Neurospora crassa OR74A: one gene and its partner. The protein of the gene in region 2 binds, or shares a complex with, the protein of the main gene of each other region. Links are inferred from orthologs where the notes say so. Each region holds a gene or a part of one and is shown on either strand. Other genes may lie near its edges.

Evidence for each region.
Region 1: the proteins of NCU00352 (region 2) and NCU01165 are in contact, whole or in part, in a cryo-EM structure (PDB 6PSY), measured with the Saccharomyces cerevisiae proteins. The link is inferred for Neurospora crassa OR74A from reciprocal best matches to the Saccharomyces cerevisiae genes DRS2 and CDC50. Residues at the interface, in NP_009376.2 of Saccharomyces cerevisiae: His241, Val242, Ser243, Pro244, Met469, Lys475, His476, Leu477, Ser478, Tyr479, Leu480, Tyr481, Leu482, Asp494, Thr497, Tyr520, Phe523, Met524, Ser527, Asp528, Leu529, Tyr532, Glu534, Asp537, Pro539, His1000, Trp1003, Tyr1029, Ala1032, Asn1033; in NP_010018.1 of Saccharomyces cerevisiae: Lys21, Lys22, Pro23, Pro24, Asn25, Phe28, Arg29, Gln30, Gln31, Leu33, Lys34, Ala35, Trp36, Gln37, Pro38, Ile39, Leu40, Ser41, Pro42, Val45, Leu46, Leu48, Leu49, Val52, Phe56, Leu63, Phe138, Tyr140, Lys142, Asn145.

What each region holds. Positions count from the first base shown.
Region 1 is NC_026505.1:3,097,825-3,108,809, forward strand, and holds NCU01165 (LEM3/CDC50 family protein), read right to left. Parts: upstream 5,798-10,985; 5' UTR 5,453-5,797; coding exon 5,231-5,452; intron 5,142-5,230; coding exon 4,125-5,141; 3' UTR 3,616-4,124; downstream 1-3,615. Other genes in the region: NCU01164 (transcription elongation complex subunit), read left to right, coding at 1-58, 158-242, 299-420, 492-2,097, 2,150-3,258; mcb (camp-dependent protein kinase regulatory chain, variant), read left to right, coding at 8,698-9,165, 9,233-9,922; NCU01167 (hypothetical protein), read right to left, coding at 10,497-10,985.
Region 2 is NC_026503.1:3,543,430-3,553,633, reverse strand, and holds NCU00352 (phospholipid-transporting ATPase), read right to left. Parts: upstream 9,358-10,204; 5' UTR 8,569-9,357; coding exon 5,332-8,568; intron 5,277-5,331; coding exon 4,609-5,276; intron 4,521-4,608; coding exon 4,343-4,520; 3' UTR 3,714-4,342; downstream 1-3,713. Other genes in the region: NCU00353 (hypothetical protein), read right to left, coding at 1,745-1,830, 2,093-2,227, 2,383-2,409, 2,695-2,861, 3,090-3,208; NCU00351 (cript family protein), read left to right, coding at 9,766-10,140. UniProt on the Saccharomyces cerevisiae protein: Catalytic component of a P4-ATPase flippase complex which catalyzes the hydrolysis of ATP coupled to the transport of phosphatidylserine and small amounts of ethanolamine from the lumen to the cytosolic leaflet of the trans-Golgi network and ensures the maintenance of asymmetric distribution of phospholipids.

The sequences.
Region 1 (10,985 bases), on a different chromosome or scaffold from region 2:
CATCCTGATGGGCAAGGTCGACGAGAACCCCGAGTTTCACAAGAACAACGCTATCCATGTGAGTTTTGCCCTCTGGAGAGCCCGCTCGGCGTGCGCTGGCTGTACGTCTGGCGGGCCATTCCAGTCAAATGACAGCTGCTGATAGCTCTACGTAAAGTTCTGGCTGCTAGGTTACGAGTTCCCGACGACCCTCATGCTGTTTACCCTCGACACCATCTACATTCTCACCACCCAAAAGAAAGGTTCGCCCGGTATTCCCGACCCAAGAACGCGGACAAACTATCTGACACGTTAATAGCCAAGTACCTCGACCAAGTGAAGGGCGGCAGATACCCCGTTGAGGTCCTCGTGCGGGGGAAGGACGCCGCCGAGAACGAGAAGCTTTTCATCAAAATTACGGATGCCATCAAGGCTGCGGGCGTAAGTTACATCCCATCCTGGGCGCACATCAACATCTCGGTGCGGTTCTAACACATTTTCGCTCGTTATAGAAGAAGGTTGGCGTCCTTACCAAGGACACCTCCAAGGGCCCCTTTATCGACGAATGGAAGAAGGTCTATGCCGATAACTGCAAGGATGTGGAGGAGGTTGACGTTGCCCAGGCTCTGTCTGCTGGCGCCTTCTCCGTCAAGGATGAGACCGAGCTTCGTGCCATGCGGACCTCGTCCAAGGCTTGCGTCGCCCTCCTGACCCCTTACTTCCTCGACGAAATGTCCAATATCCTCGACCAAGATAAGAAGATCAAGCACAGCGCACTAGCCGATAAGGTCTTCAACAAACTGGAAGACGATAAGTTTTGGAAGACCGTCGAGCTGCCCAACCGACAGAAGCTCCCGGCTGACCTCGATCCCGAGCAGCTGGACTGGATTCTGGGACCGATCGTCCAAAGTGGTGGCAAATTTGACCTGAAGTGGCAGGCTGATTCTGACAATGATATACTCCACCCGGGAATTATCATCGCGGCTATGGGTCTCAGATACAAGTCCTATTGCTCCCAAATCGCCAGAACTTTCATGGTCGATCCCAACAAGTCCCAAGAAAGCAACTACAAGTTCCTACTTGCTGTCCACAACCTCATTCTCAAGGAGATCCGGGATGGTGCCATTGTCAAGGATGTTTACACCAAGGCCTACAACTTTGTGCGGTCCAAAAAGCCCGATCTTGAGAAGCACTTTCTTAAGAACGTCGGCTTTGGAATCGGCCTGGAGAACAAGGACCCGACCTTGATTCTCAACAACAAGAACACCCGTACCCTTAAGGATGGCATGACACTGGTTGTGACCACCGGCTTCAGTGATATCCAGAACCCCAACCCCCAAGACAAGAACAGCAAGGTCTATTCCTTGATCCTTTCCGATACGATCCGTGTCACTAGCTCCGAGCCGGTGGTGTTTACTGGCGAGGCGCCTGTCGATGTTGATGCCACCTCGTTCTTCTTCAAAGATGAGGAAGAAGCACAGCCCACACCGAAAAAGGAGAAGCGGGACTCTAGGGTGGGTGCCGTTGCAACCAAGAACATCACTAGCACTCGTCTACGCTCTGAGCGTAATACAACGGTAGATGAGGACGCGGACAAGAGACGTCGCGAGCATCAGAAGGAACTCGCGCAGAAGAAACAGAAGGAAGGCTTGGCCAAATACGCCGAATCTACCGCTGATGAGAATGGCGTCGAAATCAAAAAGTTCAAGCGCTTCGAATCTTACAAGCGGGATAATCAATTCCCGCCCAAGGTTAAGGATATGGGCATCGTTATTGATCAAAAGAACGCGACCATAGTACTGCCTGTTATGGGCAGGCCGGTACCCTTCCATATCAACACCATCAAGAACGCAAGCAAGAGTGACGAGGGCGAGTGGTCATTCTTGAGAATCAACTTCCTATCTCCTGGCCAGGGTGTGGGTCGGAAGGATGAGCAGCCCTTCGAAGATGCATCTGCGCACTTCGTCAGGAGCTTGACTTTCAAATCAACCGATGGCGATAGGTATGCTGACATTGCAAACCAAATCTCGAACCTCAAACGAGACGCTGTCAAGAAGGAGCAGGAGAAGAAGGATATGGAGGACGTAGTTGAGCAGGACAAGCTCGTTGAAATCAGAAGTAAGTCGCTTTCCCGGATCAATTGTATTGCAACATACTAATTAACTATCAGACCGTCGGCCCGCCGTATTGGATAATGTCTTCATCCGGCCGGCCATGGAGGGCAAGCGTGTGCCTGGTAAGGTGGAAATTCACCAGAACGGTATTCGCTACCAGTCACCTCTCAGCACAACGCAACGCGTGGATATCCTCTTTTCCAACGTTCGCCACCTTTTCTTCCAACCATGTCAGCACGAGTTGATTGTGATCATCCACATCCACCTCAAGGATCCCATTATCATTGGAAACAAGAAGAAGACGAAGGATGTCCAATTCTACAGGGAAGCCACCGACATCCAGTTCGACGAGACCGGCAATCGGAAGCGCAAGTATCGTTATGGTGATGAGGATGAGTTCGAGGCTGAACAGGAGGAACGCCGGCGCCGCGCAGAGCTGGATCGCCTGTTCAAGTCGTTCGCGGAAAAGATTGCCGAGGCGGGCCGCAACGAAGGCATTGAGGTGGACATGCCACTCCGCGACCTTGGTTTCAACGGTGTACCGTTCCGCAGTAACGTGTACATCCAGCCCACCACGGAGTGTCTCATCCAGATCACCGAACCTCCATTCATGGTTATCACCCTTGAGGACATTGAAGTCGCACATCTGGAACGTGTTCAGTTTGGTCTCAAAAACTTTGATCTGGTGTTTGTCTTCAAGGACTTCACGAGGCCACCATACCACATCAACACCATTCCTGTCGAGTCTTTGGAAGACGTCAAGGAGTTCCTTGACTCGTCTGACATTGCCTTCTCAGAGGGTCCTCTCAACCTCAACTGGGGTGTCATCATGAAAACGGTCACTGCCAATACCCACCAATTTTTCTTGGATGGTGGCTGGGGCTTCCTGCAGAACGACAGCGACGACGACGAAGTGGAGGAGGAGGAAGAGGAGAGCGCCTTCGAAATTGACGAGAGCGAATTGGAGGACGCTTCCGAGTCTAGCGAAGAGGATTCCGAATACGACTCCAACGCCTCGGAGGAGGCCAGCGATGAGGCGGAAGACAGCGAGGAGGAGGAGGGCGAGGATTGGGATGAGCTGGAGAGGAAGGCTAAGAAGCGTGACAGGGAGAGCGGCTTCGACGACGAGGAGGAACGTGCGGCACCCAAGAAGCGGAGAAAGTAGACTGATTAGACCCGGTCTTCGTTCGCTTGAGCTCTTCTCGCGATATGACAAGGTTAATCGGTTGACATTTATTTTCCTTGTGAGTTTGCATATCTTGGGAAAAGGGTTTCAAAATCGGGCCTGTGTACAAGTTTGGCTTTTTTTCAGACTTTCCCTTTTTTTCCTCTTTCCTATGTCGGCGTGGATTTGATTTTGCGCGGTCTTTTTTTCTCTCTTCCAATGGGCAAATTTGTCTGGCGTGCAAATGGGATATATTGTTTGGTACTGTAGTTGTATGAACATGGTAGGTAGTAGTAAACTACTTGTTTTACACAATCTGGCATGGTGAGTGATACCGTACTTTAATTGAAGTTGTCACAGGAAATGAAAATGAGCTTGTGGTTTTCTTTTTTAAAAAAATTGTGAGTAAATAATGAGACCTACATCCCATGAAATGCATCTGTACTAAGTAGTGAAACGGAAACTATACCAAACCCAAGACGCCGTTCAGTTATTGATATCCCAAAAAGACTTGTGTAAGCGCGTGCTGAACTTCAAAACCCAGCGAAGTTTTTGGAAACAACAACAGGCAAAGCTCACAAAGAGCGGTTCCGTGTTGGATCAGGAATCCCGCCCTCTCTCTCTCTCTCTCTCTCTCTCTCTGTCTCCTTCAAGTTGTCTGCTTCTCCTTACCCTTTCCGCCTCTTCTATCCCAATTCATGTTTCGACCAGCCAGCCAGCCCCCGTCCTAGCCTCATCCCGCAGGGTAAGAAGTTTCATCACATCCATCCAGCCATCCATCCATCTCACGGCGTAATTAGGGTCTAAATTATATCTTCGTTCTTTGTGTGTTTTGTCTTACTTGGTTCGAGTTCTGGTTGCTCGTTTCACGTCGATCCAGCCTGAGCGGCCGAAGGCTGATTCCACGACAGGTACGACGGGTCGCCCAGCTTACGAGGCTTCCATATGAAGAAAGACAAGACAAAGTAGATGTCAAGAATAAGGCAGATGCCGCCGACAATGAGGAATATTATCCCTGGCCAGATGTTGCGGGCGCCCATGGCGGTGATGGTGGTGAGCACGATGGACTTGTGTCCGTTGTAAACGGTGGTGTTGAAGTTGTCGACAATCTCAATCCGGTAGTTGCCCGCCTTCATGGCGTCGCGCTCGTTCTTGCGCACCAGCTTGTAAAAGTCGGGCGAGGCAGCGAGCATCATCCAGTTCTGGAAGTCGGCCCAGTTCTTGAGGTCGGGAAGCTTGGTGTCGTTTGTGTAGCCGTTGGGCCAGGCTGCCTCCCAGTTGGGTGGGGGCACGATATCGGCCCGCGAGTACTTCGTCTCGCCGTATAGGTCCTTCAATCCCTCCCAGCTGATGTCACCGGCCTTGTTGGACATGACGTAGTCGGTAGAGTTTTGCTCGTTGTAGGGGTTGGAGAAGGTGTCGTTGAACATGGAATTGGCCACCACGCCGCACGGGTAAATGACCTTTCCGCTTCCTCGAGGGTCGAGATCCAGGGGCTTGCAGGTCGAGCCGTCGATAACATCCTTGGATACGGCATCGCCCAGAAGTTGCTTGGCGTTGAACGAGTTAACGTAGCGACGATGGTTCTGGTAGAAGTTGTCGAGATGGTAGTAGAAGCTGACGGGTGCCGGGAGTTCCTCGGGAATAGGGAATGAGATAACGCAAATGTTTCTTGGAGCCGTGATGCCGCTCCATTCGAAGGTTACGTTTTTCTCCTCAACATGCCATGTCGACATCTTCTTGGGGTCTAGGTTCGGATGGTCGGCCAGGGCTTTTGAGGTGAAGTGCGACTTGATGTTATCGGGTGGAATTGGTTTCCTTGTGTCATTTCCTCTGGGCGCATCTCTCAGACAATCTGTGTAGTCGATACTGATATCTCGAACCTAAAAAGATGGGTGGCATGGTCAGCGGCTGGTCGGACACTTTTTGCAGCAAGTGACAGGGGGCACAGAAAAGAACCGGGGGAAAGTACAGTGAAGGCGAGATATGTCAAGTAGGCGCCAAAGCCAAGATAGATGGCGGCGAGGACAGTAAAAATGGAGACGATAAGTTTGGGCGTGAGCACGCATTGCCAGGCGCGCATTCGTTGCTGGCGGAAAGCAGTGTTGGGTGGACGGTTCTTGGGAGCATCTGTCTCTGATGAGTTGCCGTCCTGGGAGCCATCGCGGCCGCCACGGCGACGGCGAGGTGCCATGTTATCGGATTATTCCAGCGACTATTGTCGTCGCTAAAAGGTCGGAAAGATTCGAAGACCAGGAGAAGGGCGGGCGCTTGCGATGATGCAAGTGGAATTCAAGCCGTTTTGCAAAGTTGATGGAACGGCGGCGCCAGGAACACACGCAACAGGGACAGAGTCTAAAGGTGGGCAATGGAATTGTCAACGAACAGTTTGAGTCGGGCGCTACAAGGACAGGACGGACGGGCAAGTCCACTGCTGCACTCCATCGCTGCAATGGCTCGAGACCTGAGTGGGCAGTGGAACGCGGACCCGGACCCTTCGGCCTTCTGGGGCGTTGCAACAATTCAAAATGGTCCGTGCCTTCCTCTTGGCAGGGAGGCTGTGAGTTTCCATTTCAGGGCTTGGTTGTCCGACGTCCGACTTCACACTCGGATATCATCATCTGAGCACTCTCACGAGATGTCTCACGTGAGCGAGAGCTTGTCCAGGCCGCTCAACTGAGGGAACCGCTGAGGGCAGCACACGCACGGGCCATTCTCCGCTGCCCCGCGAATGCACGTCAACAGTCATTCAAAGAGGTGCTTCTTTAGAACACAACAACCTCCAGAATCGGGCACAGAGTGAGCTGCCAATCTCTATATGTGCCACCAACCTCTCGCGCTTCGTTTCACCTTTTTGCACAACGTTTCTGTTCTGCGACTTCAGATCCGTCTCACTATCTGGTACAAGAGTGATATATCAGCTGTGTGTCTTGTGTTTACCGTTCGGCGCCCGGGTGGTATCTCGGCCTTTTGCATATCAGTATCTTGATTGCAACATCCTGTTCTAGGTCTCATCCGCTCCACTTGATCTGATGGGGTCGGGGACCAGTCAACCGGACACTACATACGCAACCAGCAGCGTTCACGCGCAGGTGATAGTAACAATTGTTCGTGCAAGATTGACAGGCAAACCGTTAGAACCCTACACAAGCAACTTTCAGCACCACGACACAAAAGACTTCTTCGCCGTCGTGTGCGTGAAGCCTTGTGCATGTGTAGAACGAAGCATTGAGACAAAAACGGCTGCCGAACAGCATCGAGATCATCAATGAGGTACTGCGTAAAACTGATGAATAACGCCAAGTCTTCGGGGATGGTTGCCACCCGCAAAAAAAGAAGCTGTTTCTGGCTTCTCTAGTCGAGTTTGGCTCGCAAACGTTACGAAATGGCTGCCGAGATCTGCAAGAGAAGCCGAAGAAGAAGGACAGCATCAGACTCACACGTCAGACACCCGACGGGGGCGGATGGGTCAATGAGGTATTGAGGTTACAGCCAACCAGACTCTAGACCACATGTGTAACCCCGGCGACAGAACATCTGAATGGCAGGCAATGCGGGCAAGCTGGCACCAGAGAAAGAGAGCTGGCACACGCAAGATAGGCAATTGGACAGGGCACGCAGGGACACCAAAAGAAGCAAGGAAGAAGAAGGGGGGCAGTCGCATGAAGGCTCGTGCTTGTGTTTTCTAGAAGGATTCGACAGATTTGAGTCTGTGATCGTGCTTGACGGAACTTGTGGAGAAGCAACAAGGAGCACAAGAGAGGTGGGTCTTGCCCCCAGCAGGGAACGGAGGAGGGCATTGCCTTCATTGTTCCAGTTGTCTCGACCCTGTTGATAGTCAATCACTGACGTGGCTTCGAAAGATGTTTGTCGAATGATGGCTGACGAACATCAACGCGTGAAAAGATGAGGAGTTGAAGATTCAGCGCCGGCTGCTAAATCCAGAGTCAATTCCATGAGGTGGTTCTGGAAGGCTTCTGTAAGCCTTCTGTAAGCCTTCCCGTCTGTGACACGGTCCTAGGTACTTACCTTAACGGCCAAGCTGAGGCAATGGCCGGAAAGGGACATCGCAGAGAACCCTGCACGCCAGTACGGCAACGGTCGACCGTCCAGCACCTTGAGTTCACGACCCAGAACCCAGATAACGAGCGCAAACGGCATCACCCACCCCACCTGCCCGCCAAAACCTAGAGCTTCACCTCCTCCACATCACTCCCCTCATGCCAGCTTTCCTGCTCTCTGTGTTTCCGGCGCTTCTACTCTCGCCCTTTTAACAAAGACAGTAATAACCGAAGACTCCCTTGTCTCATTTGCCGTGTCGTGCTCAGCTCTCCAGTCCTCTGTTGTTATTGCCATTCCCCCTTCCATCATTTCCACCTCCACCCACACAGCTCCCCGCCGCCTGCTTCGTTCGGTCAACACGCCTCGCCACAGCTGCCTTGCTTCTTTCTTGCGTCGCTACAAGGCAACTCCTCTGCAAGTGAGATCGCAATCGCAACCGCAATTGCTCTCGCGACACCAGAATTCGGTCGCAACGAAGAAACCTACCCTCGTGCTGCGGTGTTTGCCGAACCGTCTTAGCCTTTATTCCCTGTCCACATTACAGCCTTGTCTGCTCTGCTTTCCCGGGCAGCCACGTATAAAGCATCTCGGGCTACGAGCTGGTCAAAGCATCCCAGCCTTTGCTCCCTTGCCATCGCCCATTCCGCAATCCCGCTCGTCCTTCATCATCCCGCCCGCGATCCTCTGAAACCTATCCATCCATCTCCGGCGTTCGCAACCACCGCAAGACTGTTGTCCGCGAGATTGCTTGCGACCTCAACCTCTCCATACCACCTATCCTACATCTGGTGATCCCTAGGTAAGTTCCCTAAATCTCTTCAGCCATGTCTCACCTTGTTTGCTCGATCAACATCGTTGTGCAATCGAACATCTTGTACCCGTGCGCTAGGTCGCATAGATTCGTAGTCAAACAGATCACATGGAGTGTGGATTACTGTCATCCCAAGACCGATCTCTTCTCTGCGTCATGCCATTCTGCCAATTTCGCAATTTCCCGTTCGGCAATTCCACTCTGATCCGATGTCAAGATCTATGCGGGTGATCATCCATGCTTGTTCTTTCGGTAATCAGGTGCTAATTTTGTAAAGTGCTTCCAGGCGCCAAAGATCTACCTTCCGACGCCCCGTGTTAAATTACAGACGCTCTGGTCCCTTGCGACCTTTCGATCTCCATCCGACCTTTGCTCGCGAATTATAAAATAAAGTTCGGGGACAAAACACTTCTGGATCCTTTTTCTCAGTTTCAGTAGGTAGTGTTCGGTCCAAGCTACAAGCATCTGCATATCTGATTCGAACATTTGTCTGATATAAGGCAACAGCTCTCAATTCAGCTCGACACACCTCACAAGATTCATCTGTTGGGATCAACGTCACCACAATGTCGAGCACAGGTTTCACCAGCCCTTTTGGGAACGCAAACCCGTTTGGCAGTTCAGGCAGATCTGAGTCTGGGCCAATGCATAGGCTGGTTGAGGAAGACGAGAATGATACTATTACTTCGCCTACAACTCCCCATTTCGGCGTCAAGAACAACGCTGCGCCCGCTTTCTGGAACGGCTTTGGTGGCGATGCTCCGTCAGACATGCCCGTCCGGCGCCAACCTGATGACTTCCCTGCTCACTACAACTTGGGTCGCCGGACCTCCGTTTCGGCAGAATCCCTGAAACCAGTCACGGATAACTCCGACAACTGGTCACCTCCTGTTCATCCAAAGACAGCAGAGCAACTTGAGCGTTTGAAGAAAGCCATCAGCGGCAACTTTCTTTTCAACCACCTTGAGGACGACCAGAGTGCCCAAGTATTGGGTGCTTTGGTAGAGAAGCCGGTGCCTGCCAAAGGAATCAAGGTTAGTACCTGAAGCCACTGCAACTCTCTGTTTTGAGAAACACGGTTTTTCTAACGCTTTTTGGCAGGTGATCACTCAAGGCGATGCCGGTGATTATTTCTATGTGGTAGAGAAGGGAAGATTCGAGGTTTATGTCAACAGCACCGGCGCTCTTCAACCCGGCCCAGACGGCATGGGACAGAAGGTTGGCGAGATAGCGGAGGGTGGCTCTTTTGGCGAGCTTGCCCTCATGTACAACGCACCCCGTGCTGCTACTGTTGTCTCTGCTGAGCCCCAGTGCACACTATGGGCGCTTGATCGTGTCACCTTCCGACGAATTCTCATGGAATCGACCTTTTCTCGTCGTCGGATGTACGAGAGCTTTCTCGAAGAAGTGCCCATCCTCAAGACCCTCACGCCATATGAGCGGTCCAAGATTGCGGATGCTCTCGAAAGCCAGAAGTACCCGGCTGGCCATGAGATCATTCTTGAGGGTGACCCCGGCCACTCCTTCTTCCTGTTAGAGGCTGGCGAGGCGGCAGCGTTCAAGCGAGGAAACGATTCTCCAGTTAAGAACTACAAGAAGGGTGATTTCTTCGGTGAGCTTGCGCTGCTGAATGATGCCCCTCGCGCGGCCAGCGTCATCAGCCAAACTGAGGTCAAGGTTGCCAGGCTTGGCAAGAATGCTTTTCAAAGGTTGCTTGGTCCGATTGAAAGCATTTTGCGGAGGACTAGGTACGTCGAAGCGGAAGAGGTGGATCCTTTGCAGGTGTCTTGAGGAGACCAGAGTGCAAATTGAATTGTTATAGACTAAAATGGCTTTCTTTATCACTGTTGGGTAAGGTCCGTTCTTTGGCCTGGGTTTGGGGTTCAAGACTTGCACACAGAAGTAGTTAGTAGTTGTTGTCGATGTTAGCTTTATTGCTGGTTAGGAAAGGCGTCTACTAGGTTCTAGTACAACATATACTGATATCATTCAATGTCGCCCATTTGTTCCCAGAACCGCGAAACGCAGGCTGTAGACTGGTCTTCCACCTGCTCGATACCATCTGGGTCTCTATTACCGAGTTTCATTGTGCTTATTGTGTTGTTTTGGTGTTGCCTCCCCTCTCATCCATTGTCTATCCCTCGGGGGATTCTTTGCAAATTAGGTACCTAGCAGTTCATTCCATGGTCCTTGTCGAGCTCATTCGTCGCCTATCGTGACACGCCCTCCTCTGATGCAGATTGATGCTTCACTGAGCCTTTCTTTCCCCCATGTGTCTATACAGCCAGACACTTCGTACCTTGCCTGTAAACCCAGGACAAAACCAAAGCCACAAAATCTCCTCTCCATCTTGAATTACCACCCCCTACTCCATCCCCCTCCTAACCTCCAAAACCTGCCTTCTCAACCCCTCCACAGCCGCTTCCGTCTCCAACACCCTACCCACGCCCTTCTTCCACGTATCCTCCAGTCCCAAGATCTCCGGTCCAACCTCGTCCTGCGCCTGCTTCCGCTGCAGCGTTACCAGATCAATCTCCCTCTTCGCCTCCGCCAATTCCTTTTCTATAGCCTTCAGCTCCCCCTCTAGCTGCCAGTTGCCAATCAGCCACGCGTTCTTGCCGTACGCGTCCAGCAAAGCTAGGTGCGCTCGCCGCTGCGCAACGTAGGCGTGGTCCGTGTAGGCTTTCCCAAGTAAAGAAGAAAGAAGGGTGGTGGCTTCGGAGCTGTCCATTCCTGCAAGTTCGGAGGCGGAGGGGATCTCGGGGAGGGAGGAGTAGCGGGCTAGGTCGAGGGCGGAGAGTTTTGGTGGCGGGGCTTGTTGTGTACCGTCGGGGTTGGCGGCTTGGACGTGGTG
Region 2 (10,204 bases):
TCATCTTATTAAAGCATGCTAACGTTACGGCGTAGTGAAGCCATTTGCGAGTCACTATCAGCGTTTGATCAGGTCTGATCCAGATGCTTCTATATCCGATCGTCATGGTAACCTTCCCGACCTGGATCTTGGTATTTGATAAAGAATGTTCAATTGCGTGTCATGCTTCGCAAACCATCTCAATTTTGTATTCTCGTCCTTTTTTGCACTTTGCCATCAGTACGTTAATCCCAGTCATCCCGCCAAGGCCTCTGTGATGGATTATCACAGTACACTAGAGGCAGGGTCGCAGTCCGCAGATGTGCGTGATGGTATCGTGGGCGGTTAACAAACCTTCACCCATGGGCCTGTTTGCGCATCAAATCCCATCAGTGATGAAAAGAAACGGTAAAAATAGACCAGACGGTTACTCACTGCTGCAACCTTTGATTGTCACTGTGGTCGTTCACTCGAGGAATGCCATCAGATGTTGAATAGACCTACCTAATAGCCATGAGCTGTTCCTCCCCAGCCAGAGCCCCGGTTAGGCATCCGTTATGCATCCGTCTACACATACATTACCGCCGGGCTGACTGAAAAAGGAACGACACAAGATACCAAAGGGAGTTCTGAAGTCAAACATCAGCAACTACCCGTACGTTTCCCACACTACAGACTGCACGCCGGAATACTATTGCTGCACCAGCTGGATAGTCTTGAGCCACTAGACTGGCAAACATCGCCGAGACTTTCTTTCGCAGCCAGCACTGTCGAAATTGAATAATTCGTCTCTGCCATGACTCGGGGAGTTCCGTTGCGCATTAGTTTGTCCTGTTCTCATCCAACATGCGTTATAATAGGTTGTAGTGTAAGTTTCTAGGGGATCCGCAAGCCCAACGTCGAGGGTCATCCATCCCTTTAACGGTAAAAATGTGTCCATCTTAGCGTCCCCCACCCTCTACCTCCGGTTGTATATGTTCACCATTAAAGGGATTGATGATCGGGCTTGGCTTCCAGTATACGCGTCCTGGTTGTCTAGGCTTCTTGGCGTGCAGTGATGAGTCTCTAATAGATAGGTTTTGTACACTTGTTATGCCCCGTGAGATACAGAGGCAAACTTTACTCGGGCGAAAGGCGACATCGCTTGTCGTTCATCTCCCCATGTCTTGGGGTTGGCGAAGGGTGGGGGGGGGGGGGGGGCAACGCATACGGGTTGGGGTTAACTACACTACACTACCGATTTTATCACCTAATGACATTGCAGGGTTGCTAGGGTAGCTTCTGATACACCGTCACGTCCCCTCGCCTCGACATCAACCAACCTTTTTCTATTTTTAGTTCCCTTGTCTGGAGCCGAACTGAAGCATCGGCCGAAATGCTCCAGAGAGGAAGGTAGGTACATACTTTTGCCAATCATCAGGTTCATGTCGGTCAGCCTGGGGGAAGGAAGAAGAAAAAAAATGCAAAATCTCGAGGAGGTTCAACAATATCGTTGTCAGACTTCCTCTGAACTTTTCAGTGGAGTATCAAAGCCGAATTCGAACCAATATCAAACTGGAATCTTGGAGCTCTGAATCCTATTCTGAAGTCAAGAGACAGTCTCACTTGTTCACTCAAAGTCCCCGACAGTTACACTAGAGCCAGGCTCATCCTGTACGTAACCCTATTTCCGCCTCATCTCATTCGTCCCTTCTAAGATCCATATCTCATGCCTTCCAAAAAGTTCACCAAAGCGCCATGCTTCTCTCCAAGATTTTTTCAGACATCACATCCGCCAAGCTTCCCATCTTGTGAAGTCCCCACGTGAAAACGCGTCGGTATTGCGTGCTTCTTGTGGAACTTTCCAACTTTCTGTTTTTCTTTTGTTTTTTTTCTTTAGCTTGACATGTTTGGCGACCATCGCCGGCATCGGCCCGTGGCAATCCAGCGGAAACATCCGCATGAGACTTGGCTCATCCCAGCACTCTTGATGGATCCGGAATCTTTAACTCCCGAAGCTGCGCAAAACACGTGAGAACGTGGATGATTTCGTGAATGTCGGCCAAAGAAAAAAAAAGACCCAGCCAGAGAAAACGCGGACAAGGCAAATGCCGCATCTTGCACGTGTACCCACCCATCGCCCCAGCCACCAAACGGGGCCCGGTAGCTGGGCTCGGTTCTGGAATGCCGGGGATCGGCCGGTCGTCGGACATGGTGCCGGGCTGGTTGGCTGGCTCGCTTGGCTGGGCGGCGACAAGATGAACGGGCACTGTGTGAGGCCGCGAGCAAGTTTTCCGGTGGATTCTTCCCCATCTTTTTTGGTACTATTTTCCGGGCCATGGAAGTTGGAGAACTCTTGCGATTTCCATATCCTGAAGAGAAGACATCGAACCAGGTCACCCACGCCACCGCCTGTCTGCATACCTGCATCATGCTCGGACATATCGGAATCTGTTTTGTGATTCATCCTACGGAGACAGAGACGCACGAAAATCGCGCGACTTCACGGGACTCTCTACTGTGTATGAAGAGTCAGCCAGACCGGATCCATCACATTACTAAGCGGCTCGTGGATATGAACTGCCGATGTTCCTGGAAGTTATTCCTCGATCGACGATCATCTCGGACGACTTGACGATGGAAACTGGCTTTGGGATCTCGGTCTTCTTCGCCATCAAGGTATGTACGCAGTATGTCCGGCTGGCGAAAGCTAATGGACACCTGGTTGAGAACTACTTGGTTCCTCCTGGTAGCTTGAGAGCCAAACGCTGGCATGTGCTCGGAGTTCGGATGGCAAAACACAGGCAACATTTACACTACTGTGTAAAGTGGGAGAGGTGCATAGAAGCTTCTGAACAGTTCCCATGTCCTTCATGCTTCGTGAAAGGGTCGCATTGCTCTCACTATTACAGGTTCAGAACCGATCATGTCGTCCTGGCATGTGATCTGGTCAATGACTGAAGACAAGGAAGAGGAAGGTAAACATCTCATAAACACATGAGCGCCTGCCTGGCTGTCGACACGGTGAGTGAGATCTCGGGGACAGAAGTACCTTTGCAGCCTCTATGAACCACGATAACAACCCCCCTAATATACCCTTACCGGGAGAGTCATCTCGCTACCCTTCTCACCTCAAAAGACGCAAGTAACCACCGGTAAGCAACCTGTCAAGAAGCAATACGCTGCTACTCCCCGAGTACATCATCCGATCCCACCGGGTACTCCTACCGATGGTATCGCTGATGGACATTGTATATCATGTTAGCCTAGCCTGACGTACAGGCATTTATTGAATGGAAGGGGTTTACATTTTTACCTCATTTTCTTCAATACCTCGGGATATCAAGATAACTATAAGACATACAACGCCTTTGAATTGTTTCCAACTCCGAGATATCAAGTCCACTTGGAGTTAAGGGAGGTAGGAAGGCAGACATGTTGTTTTCATCCTGTGCTGGAACATTGTACCAAACTCTCATGCCAAGAGCACGAGAAGATATAATAAGCAGTAATACTCGCCGTCAATATTATATGTGTCAAACATCATCATTCCTTGCATACAAGTACTTAGATTTCAGCGCTCGCGCTACCCCTTTGACTTACCTAGTACCAAACGACAAGACAATACCCACGAAATACATGTATCCGTCACCGTCTCATCTACCGCAAATGCGGCCATTTCACCTAGCTAGGCAAAATCAAAAAGTTCCAGTTAGAATCCAACTTCAACCTAATTTACCTCTAAATTATACGCACATGAGAGAAGAAGGAAGGATGGGCCAATGAAATGGGCTAAAAAGAATAAAAAATCAAAAACAAAGACAGGATCAAAAACATACAACACCAGGGATTCGCTGGTCGTCACCGACCCAACTACTAGTCTGGCCCTCACTGGCTTATCTATGGGAGAGCGGACGGGATCCCGAGTTTTCCAGTGGGTATGGTCGTATGTGCTTTAACTGTTGAAAACAGAGGATTATGAAGCCACGTTGAGGGTTGAAAACTCGTCACCAGAAATCAATGAACCTACTACGCCTTTCTTTCCCCACATCACATACACAAGAACATGTCAGTAGAGGAAAGCGCAAGCATAGATGGAGCGAAGAATAAGAAAACGATTAAAAATAAGTTGTCGTATACCTCCCTTTCATGCCTGCTTGCCTGCCTAGTCTGTCTGCGTGCCCCCCTCATGATACGCAAAGAAGATGTCTCTTCCTTCCGTTTTTTTTTCATCTTAAATCCATCCATCACCATCAATCAGTCCATCAGTCACCTATTCATCACATCTCCGTCCATACACACTTTGATTCATGTCCCTCCCACCCCAATACATTAAGCGCAACCCCATTCGCTGGTTTTGTTATTTCTGCTTTGTTTTGTTTTTTTATTGATTCGGTCTTGAACTGGCCATCTCGCCATACCGACCACGATGCTGTGTTGTGTCGTAGGCCTGGAGCACGCGGGTCTGCGACTCGTCGGCCTGCGAAAAGGCATAACCGCGTTGCTTGCGCATGCGCTGGACCTGACGGACTTTGCGGATGGCTTTTTGGAATTGTTCCATGCTGTTGTCCTTGCGTTAGCAATCGAATAGAGGCAGGGTAAAAAAGTAAGGAGAGGAGGGGGGGACGACGAATCATGGCAAAAACATACCGAGGCCTATAATCCTGAATGTTATACTTCTGAATCTCCTGCACGTGATGATACGCCTCCGGTCTCCACAACCGCTTGCTAAACTTCCACGCAAAATCTCTGAGCAAACAGAGGATTGCCAGCGTAGGCATCTGGATCCAGAAGATCGGGCTCGTGAACAGCCTGGGGATGACGCCAAAGTACTCAACACTGATGTTCAGCTTGGGCGCCACCTCGCCATAGACTGCCACGAATAAGATCCAGAAAGCCATGGAACCGGGGATGGCGATGACGTGGTACTTGGTCCAGTTGTTGGTCACCAGCGCGGCTTTGCCGAGGACGGTAAGTAGGACGGCACCATACATGGCTGTACCCCAGACCCACTTTCCGCCAGGGAAACCGTCACCTTGAGGCCCGTCGTTGAGCCAGAAGAGACAGCCGCCTACATAGAGAATGATGGAGTGGTAGACGGCGTTGATGATCCATTCGCCGAAGACACGGATCTTGAAGAAGGTGTTGCGCTGGCCGAGGTTGTAGAGCTGCGGGTAGCGGTCGAGCAGGCGGGCAGAGACGAACTGATCGAGGATACCAAGGGCGAGCGGCGGAAGGACCGTAAAAAAGACGTTGTAGAAAGAGAGAGTCCAGGATTCGTAGATGACTTCACCGGAAAAGACGTTTTGGAAAGTGTACTGTTTCAGGTCAGTGTTTTTGAATCAGAAATGGTTACCTGCATGGAACACATACCCAAAACTGTGTCAGATAAAGGCAAATGTTCTTATAGAAAGAGAACAAAATGGTCTTCGACACACGATGGTAGCTCCAGGCGCCATGGACGAGAAGCAACTTGCGGAGGTAACGGAACTGGGCAATAGACACATCGGCACTGCGCGCAGCTTGTAGACCTTCCATACCGCTGATACCGACACCAATATGGGCAGCCTGAATCATAGAGACATCGTTGGCTCCGTCGCCAATAGCGAGGAGAATCGACTCCTTTTGATACTTCTTGACCAACTTGACGACCAGGGCCTTTTGCAGAGGGGAAACACGGCAGCAGATAACGGCCTTGCACATGATGGCAAGATCAAGGAAGAGCTTCTCCATGTCCTTCTCCAGAGCGTACGTTAGCGATTTGCCGTCAATAACGAGAGCCAGGGTCTCCATCTCAATGGTGGCATCGCCCTGGTTGCGGATGGCATCGAGCTTCTTCTGAAGATTATCCCGCGTAGCTTCCGCACTCTCTTCGTTGACAATGAGCAGCATCATGTCCTCACTAAGCAACTTGCAACTCATGCCAATGTTGATGGCGGTCTCTTGTCTGTCACCGGTCAAGACCCAAACCTTGATGCCAGCTTCCTGGAGGGTGTGAATGGTCTCGGGCACACCGTCCTGCAAGCGATCCTCGATAGCGGTGGCACCAAGAAGGTAGAAGTCGTGCTCGATGAGTTCGGCAGCCTTGTCCAGCTCATCTGCACGATTACCACCAATGGTCGTCTGCGCCGTCTCGTAAACCTTCATCCACTCCTGGAATTCGTGCTCCGGGATTTCCCTCATGGCCAAGCAGAGCGTGCGTAGTCCCTCAGAAGCATATTCCTCAAGATGTCGCAGGGTGGCGTCGACGTGGGGGTTCTGGTCATTGAGCCTTTCCAGGATGACGGTGTCTGCACCCTTGCAGTAGCAACGAACCTTGCCGTCAGGGCAACGATAAATCGTGGACATTCTCTTTCTGGTTGAGTTGAACTCGCAGACTGCCAAGAGCTCGTACTCAAGCTGCTGGCCGTTGGCTTCGATGATAACAGCGCGCGGCTTGCGAGCGACGAACCTGTAGCCCATCTGTACCGCACCATCGACAAGCGCTCCCTCATCTGGTGACGCGGCTTGGTACTTGATGCTTCCGTCTTCAGCCTGTTCCGGAATAACAGTATGGCAGATGGCGAGAAGGGTGAGAAATTGGTCAATGACCTGCGCAGATTGGTGGCTCTCGAGATTCTTCTGCAGTTGCTTGAAGTCGTGGATTCCATCCTCTCCGTCCTCACCACTCGGGATTCTATCCTCGGGCACCTTGTCGGCGTACATGATTCCAGCGATCGAGCATTGCCTATATTCCATCATGTTGCAGGTCAAGGTACCAGTCTTGTCTGAGAAGACGAACTCAACCATGCCCAATTCCTCAACCAGACTGGAAGTTCGGCAATTGGCAGGGGTGTCGTTAACGTCGTAATACATATCAAGGTCGTCGTTAATGAGAATGCCGTGCCAATACTTGACCATTTCAATGGTGACGAAGAGCGAAATGGGAACGAGAGCGGAAAACAAAACCCAGTATGTGACCATGTCCTTGATGAAGATGCGAGCAACAGCCGAGGCACCGTTCATAGGATCCAAGAAGAGATAAGCGAGACCTTCCTCGCCCTCCACCTTTCGTTGGATGAGATCACCGACAGTAGAGACCACGCTGAAGATCAAAAGGATACCGACGAGGAAGAGTACGAGCGTGTTCAGCTGCCTCTCGACCTTGGTGCGCTTAATCGGCGCGGCCGTGGCGTTGCGCATCAGCTTGGTCTCGTGGCCAGTGAAGACAACGACACCGTGGACCCAAGGGGTGTTGCGCAGAGTAGCACCACGGAGAAGCAACTGCTCGGGGTTTAGAGGAAGCTCCTTCTCCCCACCTCCAGCCTGCATGGTCAAGGTCGCTTCGTAAGTGTAAAGACTGCTGTTGGGCTGCTCGGAGCGAATCCTGCCTCCCAGACGACTCAACTCGCTGGAGCTAACCATAGATGACGTTTCTGGCAGAGCTTGCTTGATCTTGAGGTTGGTCTCTCCGTCGAGATTGGCGGTTTCGATATAGCAAAGACCCTCGGGCTCGGAACTCGCCAAGAGAACAAGATCGGCGGGGAAGGACTCCTCAGATTCGACTCGAATGATGTCTCCAACCGAGACGTTGATCCATTTCGTTTCCTCGAATGTCGAACCCCTCAGGATCCGGGCCTTGGACATATTGAGCGCCTTATCTGCCTGTTTTCTCCGATAATCTTCGACCATCTCTTTACCCGCCGAAACCAAGAGCACAACAGCTAGAGGACCAATTGTAGTATATCTGTTTGTAGGAGACAGGCCGGGAATCTGCTGTAGACCGGCGGTAAATAAGAAGAAGATGTTGGCGAATTTGGAGAACTGCTCGAAGAGGAACTTGGGCAAAAAAGTCGCAAAATTGTACTTGGCGGTCGAGACGTGGTTGTCGACATACTTGTTCAGGCTGTTGGCGGGAGGGTTGTTGAGATGGATGATACGGGGCCCAAGGGTTGCTGGATCCGGCTTTCCGCCCCCAAACCCAAACTTGAAATCAAACTTCTTGGCTGGCTTCTGGGGAGGAGGAGGCTCGTGAGAGTGGTCTACCCGTGCGGTCGCTCGCGGATCCGTCAAGGGGAGGTCCATCTCCGAGTATCCCTCAGGGCCCATTCCAAGCATGTTCTTGGCACGACCGATCAAACCGCCACCCATGCTCAGGACGCTATTCCGTGCGCGCGCGCTGTCGCGGGCAGCCGCCGAGTCCGGGGGGATAGCTCCGCCATGTTGGTAGTAGGACGTGGTACTCTCGTCAGGGTAGTCGTCAGAGTCCTCGGCATAGCGTTGATAGTTTCCGAGATCCGACGTTTGGCTGAAATGCCGGTCCAGGGACCTGCTATCAGGGTATGGACTTATTGGGCCTCCGCCGCCTGTCGCGCCTGGCGCGGGCTGTATAGGTCTTGTAGCTGTTGGTTGTGTTGTTTGCCCGGAGCCGACGAAGTCATCGTAGGATACGGACGGGCGAGGTTGCGCGGCGCCTTGCGCATCATCGCTGTGTAGTCGCAAGAGATCGTCGTCGTTTAAAGTCGACCTTTGTCCCCCGCCATAATATGGTTGTTCGTTGCCGAAGTCGAGCAGCAGATCGTCGTGTTGAGCGCTCGACGGGGCCCCAGGAGGGGGGCGGCCAGCCGCCATGCCGGAGACCGGGAGCCGGAAAATGGACGCTGTCGGTAGGACAGTCCGTCAGACCAAGGTGAGATGGTGGTGTCGCGGAGACAAGCGAGGGATTCGAAGACAAGGGCGGAGAGTCGTGCCTATAGCGGGAATAGGAGCATCTGAGGACTCAATGTGGACGAGGGGGAGGAATCCGGATACGGCGGGCACTTGTTGATTCCAGGCCGGAGTAGGTAGCGCGTGTGTAATGCGGCTTTGATGGATGTGGTCGAGTGCTGGGTAGCGTATGAGTCTAGGTAAGGTATGTTGACCGCAGGAACGTTTCTTTTTGCGACGAGACGAATGCGTGAGGTGGAACTTGGGGAAGCTGAATTGGAGTTGGGAATTGTACGGAGAGATAGTGGATGGTGGGCTGGATACTAGCGCAGTAGGTGCCGCCGCCGTGTCATGGGAAGTCAAGTGAAGATGCAGCACAGCCTCCTTTCAAGGCTGCTCAGCGCAGGATTCGCGTGTGGAATTAACGAACTGGTGCCCCCCGGTACAGGAAGACCAATGATACAAGACACCAATCTAGAATAGAGGTAGGTACCAATGGGCCCGGTTCGATACCTACGGTTCCTGGTACGCGCCAATACGGTTTGCTTGAAGAGTGCCCTGTCAATGAGTTGGGATGCACCCCCTGACGGGATGTTGAGAAAGAGTCCAACGATCGGTACCCAAGTCTGGCGACCTCAGGAAAGGGCAGGTTCCATGTTTTGGATGTTTGAAGATGCAGACTTTATTTCTTCTGGAATTCAGGGGATGTCAGGGATGGAAGGGATTGCCTGAGTGATGGGCTTGAAAAGCTGCACGTAATCGTAATGTACACTACCATCCATAGGTAGAGGTACCGGCTACAAAGACTGGGACACTCACCCACCACTAACACCACAATCGCCTTCCCAGGGGACCAAGCCGCCAAGGCACGTCACAGCGCTCCTGTTAGCGGGTCACCGTTGTTAGGCAGAGCATCCATGTGTGGATTGCCAGTTGCTATGAATAAAGATGTTTCGAATGCGGCACACCCAATCAAGATGCTCCAAGGTGTGTTTGAGGCTGGAAGCGAGGACGCTAAGCTCATGACTAAGCGATAGTGGCTGACAGTAGGGGCCCTTTTACCCCACCATACGCGGCCTTCTTGGTCCCTTCAAGTTCTCTGGTTCTTCTCTGGGATGCGCCATGGGCTTGGCGGCCAGTACAGGGCACCATGGTAACAACGCCCCAGCGGACACCACCTCAACTTGCCGCCGCTGTTGTGCTCTGACCTCATTCATCACCAACTTGAACCACGTAGAGCTATCTCATCAACCGTCAACAAAAGCTTGCTCACCACTTCAACCAAGGAATATAGGAGAGACGCCCGAAAAGAAATATATCCCCGACATGGTTTGCGCAAAGTGCCAAAAGAAGGAAAAGACGACCCTCGTCACGCCGGCGGTCAAGAAGAAGAGTGAGATGTACTATGGCTCCCCAGCAGCAGCAACATCGTCATCATCGAGCTCGGCCACGGGACCCAAAAAGTCGGCAACTCTGGGCAACACAGGAGTGACAAAGGTGAGTTTTTGGTCATCCTATCATCATTAGAAGATATCAAACTATTCGTCTGTACTAACTGGTC